Macaca mulatta: one gene and its partners. The protein of the gene in region 3 purifies or fractionates together with the protein of the main gene of each other region. This does not show direct contact. Links are inferred from orthologs where the notes say so. Each region holds a gene or a part of one and is shown on either strand. Other genes may lie near its edges. The genes, in order: UBXN8, UBAC2 and TBC1D15.

The links.
Region 1: the proteins of TBC1D15 (region 3) and UBXN8 purify together in Homo sapiens (affinity purification with mass spectrometry; 3 studies listed by BioGRID and IntAct, counting the BioPlex papers as one, with this or other methods). This does not show direct contact. The link is inferred for Macaca mulatta from reciprocal best matches to the Homo sapiens genes TBC1D15 and UBXN8.
Region 2: the proteins of TBC1D15 (region 3) and UBAC2 purify together in Homo sapiens (affinity purification with mass spectrometry; 3 studies listed by BioGRID and IntAct, counting the BioPlex papers as one, with this or other methods). This does not show direct contact. The link is inferred for Macaca mulatta from reciprocal best matches to the Homo sapiens genes TBC1D15 and UBAC2.

Annotation. Positions count from the first base shown.
Region 1 is NC_133413.1:32,539,862-32,543,515, reverse strand, and holds part of UBXN8 (UBX domain-containing protein 8), read right to left. Parts: intron 2,299-3,654; coding exon 2,176-2,298; intron 667-2,175; coding exon 596-666; intron 1-595. UniProt on the Homo sapiens protein: Involved in endoplasmic reticulum-associated degradation (ERAD) for misfolded lumenal proteins, possibly by tethering VCP to the endoplasmic reticulum membrane. May play a role in reproduction.
Region 2 is NC_133422.1:94,050,715-94,054,368, reverse strand, and holds part of UBAC2 (ubiquitin-associated domain-containing protein 2), read right to left. Parts: intron 3,356-3,654; coding exon 3,110-3,355; intron 1-3,109. UniProt on the Homo sapiens protein: Restricts trafficking of FAF2 from the endoplasmic reticulum to lipid droplets.
Region 3 is NC_133416.1:79,038,694-79,042,347, reverse strand, and holds part of TBC1D15 (TBC1 domain family member 15), read right to left. Parts: intron 1,445-3,654; coding exon 1,234-1,444; intron 1-1,233. UniProt on the Homo sapiens protein: Acts as a GTPase activating protein for RAB7A. Does not act on RAB4, RAB5 or RAB6.

The DNA of each region.
Region 1 (3,654 bases), on a different chromosome or scaffold from region 3:
CTGGTAGTTGCCAGAGGATGGGAGGAGGGGAAAGTGGGGAGTGACTGTTTAAAGAGTATACGGTTTTCTTCATGGGAGATGGAACAGAGGTGGTAGTTGTACAACCTTGTGAATGTACTAAATGTCACTGAACAGCCTGGTCAATTGTGGCTGGGCACAGTGACTCATGTCTGTAATCCCAGCATTTTGGAAGGCCAAGGCAGGCGGATCACCTGAGGTCAGGAGTTTAAGACCAGCCTGGCCAATATGGCGAAACCACGTCTCTACTAAAAATACAAAAATTAGCTGGGTGTGGTGGTGCATGCCTGTAATCCTAGCTACTTGGGAGGCTGCGGCGGGAGAATCGCTTGAACCTGGGAGGTGGAGATTGCAGTGAGCCAAGATCTCACCACTGCTTTCCAGCCTAGGTGACAGAGTGAGACTCCATTTCAAAAACAAGTAACATAAAATGGTCAAGTTTATGTCACATGAATTTGACCTCAATATATATTTTTTAAATCTTAGCACAAACACAGAAGCAACAGACCTTATTTTTAATTGCCTCAGAGATTTTTGTATTTCTCTATGCATAAAGTCTCTAAAAATTCTGGCTTACCTTCTCTCCTTGTGCCTCTTGTTGTTTTTTTCTCACAAGTTTTTGTCTTTTCTCATTCTTTTCTTCTTCTTCTAAGACATCAAAACATGAAAGTGCTTTTTACTTCCCAAATATCTCATTTGAAGTATAACCAATCAAATAATTTATCAAAAGAAAGAAAAAAAATCTGAAGTCTATGGTTGGGAGACCCTAAAATATCACACTGTCATTTATGTTTGGGTTGAATAATATAACCTTTTAGGATTATGGTTTTATTCATAGTTAATTTGAAAGGGCTATACATTCAACACTGGTCACTTTCCTTTTATTTACTTACATTTAAATAAACAGTGAAAACACAATGTACCAAATTCACTAATGACAAGCTTCTTCCTAGTAGCATAGAAAATATGTAGTTTTTGGTTTTAAGATTCTGAGGCTAAGTACAATATTATTTTAAAAGGCTTCTAGGACTCACAAACTTTTGCTTATCAAAAATGAAACAGGCTAGGCGAAGTGGTCAAGCCTGCAATCTCAGCATTTTGGGTGACTGAGGCAGGTGGATCACTTGAGCTCAGGAGCTAGAGACCAGCCTGGGCTACATGGCGAAATCCCACCTCTACAAAAACTACAAAAATTAGCCAGATGCAGTGGTACACACCTGTAGTCCCAACTACTTGGGAAGCTGAGGCAAGAGGATCACTTGAGCCTGGGAGGAGGAGGCTGCAGTGAGCCAAGATCATGCCACTGCATTCCAGCCTGGGTGACAGAGCGAGACTCTGTCTCAAATTTAAAAACCAAAAGCAAGCATGATTTCCTAAAATTAAAAACATTTACATATAAAAGACAAAGGTGTCTAAGTAAAAACTGCTAGAATGGAACAAAAAATTAGGATGAAAAGCCTTTCAAGATTAATGGTAGATCGGCAGGGCGTGCTGTCTCATGCCTGTGATCCCAACTTCGGGAGGCTGAGGCGGGCGGATCACGAGGTCAAGAGATCAAGACCATCCTGGCAAACATGGTGAAGCCCCATCTCTACTAAAAATACAACATTTAGCTAGGCATGGTGGTGCATGCCTGTAGTCCCAGCTACTCGGGAGGCTGAGACAGGAGAATCGCTTGAACCCAGGAGGCGGAGGTTGCAGTGAGCCAAGATTGCGCCACTGCACTCCAGCTGGTGACAGAGCGAGACTCCATCTCCAAAAAAAAAAAAAAGGTTAATGATAGATACTTTCACTCGGTAGAACAGCTCATAAACTGTAGGTATCAAACGGCAGTTAAGCAACACAAACACACAATTTAAAATTAGGGAATTTACCATATAACAACTTAGAAATGATATAGCTTAAAAACACATATATATGAGAAAAATGTACAATTTCTCATAAAAATGTTGGGATATAGTCCATGCAAAGCCATCATCACTAATTTTTAAAAACCACACACAAAATCATGACTAAAGTTGTGATGATTACTCTCCCTGAAACTACACATCACAAATTAATAGTAAAATGGTTCTTACTGTGCAAAGTTCTAGAATAAATAAAGGAAAGAAATTTGAGTAGAATGGCATAAAAGGGTAGCATAAATAATAAACTTACCCTTCAGATAAACTTGGGAAGATTTAAATGAGTTAAGCCATGAGGTAGTCACAGAAATAATTAAAGTAAGAAGAGCAAGCAGTAAGAAAATCCGGCCACAAAGCAAAAGAAAATCCTTGATTCCTGACGAAGGAAAAAAAAAAATTAAAATTCAAAACTTTTTGTTTTAAGAGACGAGGTCTCACTATGTTGACTAGGCTGGTCTCAAACTCCTGAGCTCAAGTGATCCTCCTGCCTTGGCCTCCCAAAGTGCTAGCTAGGATAATAGGCGTGAGCCAACATGCCCAACCCAAAACAGTTTTCTTGATACTCCTAATAAATTATAACACATTAGAAGATTATCTGTACTGGGAAAGTAAAGTTATATAACTGTCTTATGATTTTGTTCATATATAGTCATCCCTTAGTATGCATGGGGTATTGGTTCCAGGACTCCTGAGTATACCAAAATCCACGGATGTTCAAGTACCTGATATAAAATGGCATAGTGTTCGCATATAGTCTATGCTCCTACATACTTTAAATCATCTATAGATTACTCATATACTACCCAATACAGCGTAAAGGCTCTATAAATAGTTGCTATACTTTACTGTTTATGGACAGGGAAAAAAGTCTGTACATGGTCGGGACAGACAGACAAACATTCATTTACCCCATTTTTTTTCTGAATATTTTCTTTTCTTTCCTTCTTTAAGAGACAGTGTGTTGCTCTTCTTGGTCTTGCTCTGCCACCCAGGCTGCTGGAGTGTAGTGGTGAGAACACGGCTCACTGCAGCCTCAACCTCCTGGGGCTCAAATGATCCTCCTGCCTTAGCCCCGCCAAGTAGCTGGGACTACAGGCACGCACCACCACACCCGGCTAATTTCTGTATTTTTTGTAGGGTCTCGCCATGTGGTACAGTCTGGTCTTGAACTCCTGAACTCAGGCAATCTGCTCGCCTCAGCCTCCCAAGGTCCTGGGATTGTAGGAGTGAGACACCACACCCAGCCCTTTCTGAATAGTCTCAATCCACAGGTGCTTAAATCCTCGGATGTGGAACTCACGGATACAGAGGGCTTACTGTGTTCTCCTTTGGGCATTAAAAAACTCATAATGGTTGTCATTTCCAGAACAAATGTACAGAGCATAATTCTAGAATAAACACTATCTTGGGAATACAGTTATAATTAGAGCAATCAGCTACACTAAAAATATGAATATCAGTAATGTATAAGTTGTAGTTTCCCATATAGAGAAAATTACATAACTAGAAATAAAATTGTGAAAATATCGTGTTGGTCGGGTGTGGTGGCTCACGCCTGTAATCCCAGCACTTTGGGAAGCTGAGGTGGGCAGATCACGAGGTCAAGAGATCAAGACCATCCTGGCTAACACGGTGAAACCCTGTCTCGACTAAAAATACAAAAGATTAGCCGGGAGTGGTGGCGGGTACCTGTAGTCCCAGCTACTTGGGAGGCTGAGGCAGGAAAATGGCA
Region 2 (3,654 bases), on a different chromosome or scaffold from region 3:
GAAAATCAAAATAAACTCTTCCCCTGGTATTACATTCCGATACAACTGCACCCTGTACAGTACTCGTGCATGCACACAAACACGGCAGATAATTCCCAGTGGTGGTTTAACAAGAGTTCTCTACGTGGTGATTTATCACACTTATGTGAATAACACTGAGACACAGCTGAGTGAAGAAGTTCAGCAGGAGTCTAAGCACTGAGTTTTGGGTGTATCCATGTGCAGACCCTAGAAGTAAGCTTAGCAAAAAATCAAGTCTGGTCTGTGCTGCCCAGCAGACCACTCAATGTAAAAGCCCGGCAAAGGCCCAAGGGCTGGTGTCCTGCTCTGGACTTCAGACCTGTTGGTGAGACCATCCTATGAAAGTGGAGGAGTCTGACAGCAGTACAAACAGCCATAAAGGCCCGTGCCACTTCACAGGCGCCTGGTGGGAATGCACGCTCCAGCAGGGCAGGGATTTGGGTCTGTCTCATTCCCTGAGGCCTGGGTGCAAGCTGGTAGATCCCATGATGTTCCAAGTATCTGGGGTGGGGAAAGACACCGTGCGGAGTTTACGGCAAGGCAGGAAAGGAGAACCATAATGTGGGTCCATAGGGTCCTGGAGCGAGGGTGTGCGCACGCAGCCAAGAATCCCACTTGTATAAACTACTGCTGCACCACGAAGTGCCTGTCCATAGGCCGTAACGTGAGCATGTGGTCAGCAGTGGAGACCCACCACGTTACCAAGCCAGGCGGGCCGACAGAAACCCGTCACCAGATGGACATGGGCATCTGGGCTCAGCATGAGTGGGGCTGCAGGGCATGGGTGAGCTGCAGAAGCAGACATGCCAGACCACCCTGGCAGCCACCTCTGCTGCACCACAGCCTCTTCCCAGCTAACACCGACTGCCACAGCGGTTGGGCCCCTCATGACCAAGTGACAGAGGGGAAAACAGCCAAATGGATAGGCTGGCTCAGGACATGAGTGGCAGCTGGAGGAAACGGCTGCATGATGGCTCGATCTTGAAAGACAATGATCAGGGGAACCCCTATGGGCAGAGCCCGGGCAGCACATTTGGTCACCAACTCTGAGTGGAAAGAGAAGTGGCCTGAGGCAATCACACGTGTGGATCTGCTGGGCATGGCAGATCACCTGGTTGGCCGGTCAGGGGACTGGAAGGAAGGGCACAAGGAGGACCCAGCTAGAGGAACAGCAGCATCAAGTGTTTTGCAGGTAGTGCCCACCACGGGCATCCACCACCGAAAAGGCACCAAGTGGAAGGTGGGCAGAATGGCCGTGGCTCCATCGCCAGATAACCCAGTGCTGGCACACGAATGGACGGCCACAGTGGCGGCACAGAGGAATGTGCGGTCCCCTCACCCAGACCGACCTATCTCCTGCCACTATGGAGCATCCAACCTGGCACCCACAGAGACTGCATGCACCGGATAACCACCGTCCGCAAGCAGAACAGTCACGCAGCACCGAGACGATGCTGGGCCCTTTCCACCCTGCAGCGTTATGGAACACACTGTCCCCCACCCCTTGCCCCTGCCCCATATTCACACACTGAAGCCTTAATCCTGCGATGTGACTGTATGCTGACAGTGTTCGCTCTTAAACTCCTTGTATAAAAATCTTCCTGAGGAGGCCAATCTGAGAAATGCAGCTTCTCTGGTTTGCTTATGAGTACAAATTCAAAGCTCTCCAATGGAGAATCTCCTCCCAGGACTCCCAAGGTATCTCAGACAACATATTTCCCCCAAATCTGCTCTTTTGATATTGGTGAAATGGAACTATCAGTCCTCTATCTTCAAGATTATCTAGGCCAGAAACATCAGAACACCCCCTCATAAGCTCTTTGCCTCTACCTTTATACTCAATCACTACTCAGTTTTTCTGACCTTGATCATTCTGAGTTCTCATACCTTTCGCTCTTCTCTGTTTCCTTGTAGGATTTACCTCCTGCTAAATACAAGGCTTCATCTGTAGCCTGTGTTCACCTTGGATGTAGTTCTTCTCTTACAGAACTTACTAGTTCTTTGCTTTCGGCTCTCAGCTCTCACCCCTACAGAGGTGACTCCATCGCCTACATATATATGTAGCTTCCACATCTCCAAGACAGAGATGTCCATCCTCCAGCTTTAAATACATCATGAGCATCTTTATGGCATGTTCCAGAGTCACTCAAATTCAAGCACATCTTTAAGAAACAACTTCTGCTTCTCTCTTTCTCTTGTAGACTCTGCACCTGATAAGGTGCCCCCTTCCTCCCATCCCAATATAAACTCTGGGACCTGCATCTCCAATGAGACTCTAAGGACCTCAAACCTGATTTCACTTCTCCAAACCATCGTGAGATCTGCAGACCTACTTCTTGCATCTAATGCTAGTGGGAGACAGAGAGATGGCAGAGGTAAGTATGGTTTACAACTACCCCAGGGGTAAAGAAGGTAGAGGCGAAAAATGGGGAGCCCTGTAGGCTGGCTCACAGAAGTGTCCTAGAAAGATCAGGCCTGAGGTTTTAGCCTGATGTGCACTAACCCTCCTTCCTTCGCTGCCCATGGAAGACAAGTGTGGTATCAGATTGTTTGGATGCAGTATTTGTAGACAAATGTGCAATAGTTTCTGATTATTGATAGCAAGGTTGAGAAAACACAGCATTTTTTAAATCTACTCCTTGGTTGTTCCATTGAAAATCTTATTACCTTCATATTCTCTTCATTTCAATTAAGGAAAATCAAGAAGTTTTACATTTGTTCTTCACTCCATGGCATATGATTAGCATTTTAACAGGAAGACACTGTGGCTTTTACAAGATTATAAAAACAGATAAATAGCACATCTTGTTAACTAGGTTGGTGTTTCTCTAAGAAGTCATGCTTATCTAATATAGGTGGAAAAAGAATGTCCAGTTTGACCAATCTTTCAGCTACAATTTATTTTTTACCTTCTTAAAAAACTAAGAATCGCCACTAACAGAGACCTACATTCTCTTTGGAAATGTCAAAATCCGCTTGCAAGGCACTGGAATAAAATGTAGTCTCTATCTCACATGCAATCACAGAGGAAAGATTTGCTGGGGCCACTGAGAATTTCTAAATTTTTAGTGATTATTATCACTTTTACCTGCTGCTGTCTCTGTCGCCTCCCTTGTGCAAACTGAGAGAACATCAGCTGCCGGTCCAGCAGCTCCATCCTCTGCTGTCTCTGGATGTCTAGCGTGGCTCCCATCCCAATTCTGGCTTCGCTGGTGGGTTCTGAAGAAGAGAAGATGGGTTCAAGTGTCCAAGAAAAGAATTTTGCCATCCAGCTGGGGATGCAGAGCACCTGATGCACCTGGAACATTTTGCTGTTGTAGCACAGACCGGACATCTAAAAGAAAAACGTCCAATGTGATTGATTAAATGTAGTATCATTTTAAAAAATGTACATGACACAAAAATCAGCAGCCTCCAAACACTGCACATAGTGTTCTTCTTAGTCACAGCGTGTTAGGCAATAAGCAAAATCCTCTACCACAGAACACTAAGCAGTACAAATCAACACAAAACTGAATTTACTCAGTAAAACAAAATTGTTTTTTATTGAATTAGAAGAGCTAGCAAAATTCTAATCATTTAGTATACAAAGTTCAGGTAAAAGATTGTCAAGACACTGTCTTCATTTTTTAA
Region 3 (3,654 bases):
GCAGGTTGCAGTGAGCCAAAATCACACCACCGCACTCCAGCCTGGGTGACAGAGTGAGACTCCATCATAAACAAACAAACAAACAAAGTTAGCAATCATTCCCTGCAGTTCTCCCAAGCCCAAAACCTCAACTTCTCCCTTCTCACCTCCATACATCCAATCCATCATAAAATCTAATCCTATAATCTAATACTGCAATACTTCCATCTTTCCTGTCACTATCCCAGTTCAGGTCACTTTAATCTCACCTGGATAACTGGAAGAACCTGCTAACATGACCCAAAAGATGCTTTGTGCTTTGGACTTCACTCAGCTCTTTGGCCCCATCTTTAACTGTATTACCCTCCCCTCCTCATACTTTGCAGACCTGTAATACTGAATTAATTTGCTGTGTGATTACATCATGTTTGTACTCTTCCCTTGTAAAACATGCTTCCCTCTAAATATCTCCTTCTCTTTCCTTATAATGGTCACTCATTTTTCAGGTCTCTACTTAGATGCTTCTTCCTCCAGGAAGTCTTCCTTGATCCCTACTCCCAGTTTCAATTAAGTGCCCCTCATTCTTTCCCAGGAACTCCCAAAGCAGCTGACACTTCTTTCATCTTAGTTCCTCAGTTTTAATTGCCAGACTATGAATTCTCTGAGACCCAGGAACACCCCTGTTTTACTAGTAAATATGAAGCATCTACCACAGTGTTGGGATGTAATAGATACCCAAAAAATATTTGCTGAGAGTAAGAGTGAGGAAGCATGTGTATGTACAGATGCACACAGGTAACTAAATGAGAGACAAGATTTCTGGAAAGTGGTAAGGCCCTATCGTCCAACTGAGAAATAATTTTATAAAGGACGTAGGACTTGCCTGACTTAAAGTTGCAACATCACAAGTATAACTGTATATTTAGTAGAAAATACAAAATAAAGGGTAAATTAGGTAAATATATAGGCCATTAATTACTAACGCATTATCATTCATTTAAATGTAGAAAAAATATTAAACTACTCTTTTCTTTGTAACAGTAATTAGGTGGTAAGTCTCAGATTCAAATTACTAAAATAACACAGTATGATTCAGTCGTTATTCCAAATAAATCAATATCCCAGAAAAAACAAAGCTGTTCATGTCCTCATATGCACATAGGTCACTGATGCCCAAGGTCAAGTAAAAATAGTTCGCTTTGGGATTAATACAATGATCCAGTTTCAATAAGTAGAAAATAATACGATACTTACTCACACAATACCACATATTTTTCAAGAGATTCAATCAGTAGTTTGCTATCTCCTTGATGAAAGTGTAGAGCAGGGAGAACGACGTCATCCTTTAGACAGAATACCAAATACGACCAGCCCATACCCTCTTTGTTTTGCTTGATTGATTTCAGGTCTGTCAAACTGAACAGGAATGACCATTTGCTTTTCCCATTTCTATGACTTGGAGCATCTTAAAAACAAGAGAGTGGGGCAAAATATTTTTGTTCACCTTTTTAAAAGGTACTGACAGTGCTCTCCATGACTGCATAACATAAATTAGTTGAACCCAGGGAATCAGTACAGCACTCATATTATTATGGCTTCCACCTGTATTAGATATGGCAACTTATATGTTCTTTTAAAAAATGATTTTTAAAATAATTATCCTACCACATATAAATTTTTTAAATGTTATTCCTATGTAAAATATAAGCTTTGACCAAAAAAACTGATCATGGCTTTGCAAGCAGGTGGACTGGATTCATATTGCAGTACTACCATCTTACTAACTGAATGACATGGGGCAAATAATTGAATGTCTCTGAGCCTCAGTTACTTTGTTTGTAAAATGGAGATAATTATACTTACCTCCCATTGTAATTCTATTAATAAGAATTAGGAGATAATACTTTTCAACTAACTAGTACAAGCCAAGTATACAGAAAATTCTCAGTAAATGTTCATCTTTTCTACTCCCCCCAAAATAAGAATAGCTTAATTCTCTTGAAGAGTCAAAAAAACAAAACAAAACAAAACAAAACCTTTATTCCTTCATTTCCTTTTGTAATTATTTTTAGGACACTACACTTAGTAGTGAAGTAAGCATACTGATATAAAAAATAACACTGGAGTGAATATACAACACTCTATTTGCAGAAAAACAAAGTACAGCAAGAAATTGAGGATGAAAAGATAAAAAGTTTTGAATGCTTCAAAAATAATGAATCAATTGCTAAATTAACTTTCTACTACATCAAGACCTCAGTTCAAACCAAATTATAGTTATGTAAAATACAGCATGTTCTGAGTTTGTGGCCTCGTTATAGAAGCTAAAATTCCAGGTTTGCGAACATTATCATAATTGATAACAAGCAACTTAAACATCAACTATTTATAAAAAAAAAAACTGAAAGAGAAAAAAAATTTATTCTCACTAATGATGCTAGTACTTACAATTCACTTCTAATGTAAAACACCATTTTAACAATTTAACTCCAACATAAGTAAGCTGTGTCTCTGAAATTTCTTTCCTAAAATGTTATTTCTTAAGAAGTATCATACTATCCTGCTATTCAAGATCTTTATTATTTCTGTCCCACACTACCAATCCCACAAAGATAAACTACTTAGAAGGAAGCTGCTTACTAGACTAGATCAGAAGACATATTAACCAGTGTTGACCTGCATGTATGTATCACCTTCCTATCTGCAATCATCTCCAATAAGATCTCTTGAACTCATAAAAAGAAATCTACAGCTTACAGAACCTCTATCTGCAAGGAAACCATGTGTCATCATTATTTCATGGACACTTAAACAAGTATCATTTGAAGGAAGCTAAAGTGACTTATCTATATACAATGACTAGCAGCTTTCACACCAGTCTGGACAGTGAACTCACATGTAAGATACACTAGATTAAGTGCCATGTGTCCACTTGACTACTTTACATAATGTTTCACTGGTGTTTATATTATAGAGCTCATAAGACCACTTCAAGCTGATACCTAAGTGAGAACAGTTCTAGAATTTCAACTTACTCATGAATCATTTAAGTGTGAATGTACTTAGACTACCTAGAACAGATACATACTGCTAGCTTATCTGCAAAGACCAAAAATATTTCACAGAAAAACAGCAATGGGAAAAAGAAGAAAAAAAAGAAACCCAAAAAACTACATATAGACAATTTTTTAAATTAAATTATTCAACGGCACAGAGGATTTTATCTAAATTATTGCAAGAAAATCATATGAAGTATATTAAACACTATATGTATGCTATATGAATTATTAGAAGTTTGTGCATATTCAAGAATAAAGGTTTTTTTAATAGATTTTTCCCTCATTAACAGAAGAAACATATATTACATACAAAAGAAAATGTCTCACACATTTCCACATTTAAAGCTCTGACAAAGAAATAATTTAAAACCCTAACAAACAAATATTCTAAGCCTTCTACTAGAATAAAAGCTTCATGAGAACAGGAACTTTATCTTGTTCACAGCTATATCCTCAGTGCTAGAAGAGTCAGTAAGTAGTCAAAGACGAAAGATCTGTTGAATAAGTCAATTAACAACCTAGTATCAAGTCAACATAAAAGTAATCTGCAAATTAGTCTGCTGCAAATAGCTGGCCAGAAATAGAAATGGTTACAGAGGAAAACAGAAATCAAGAG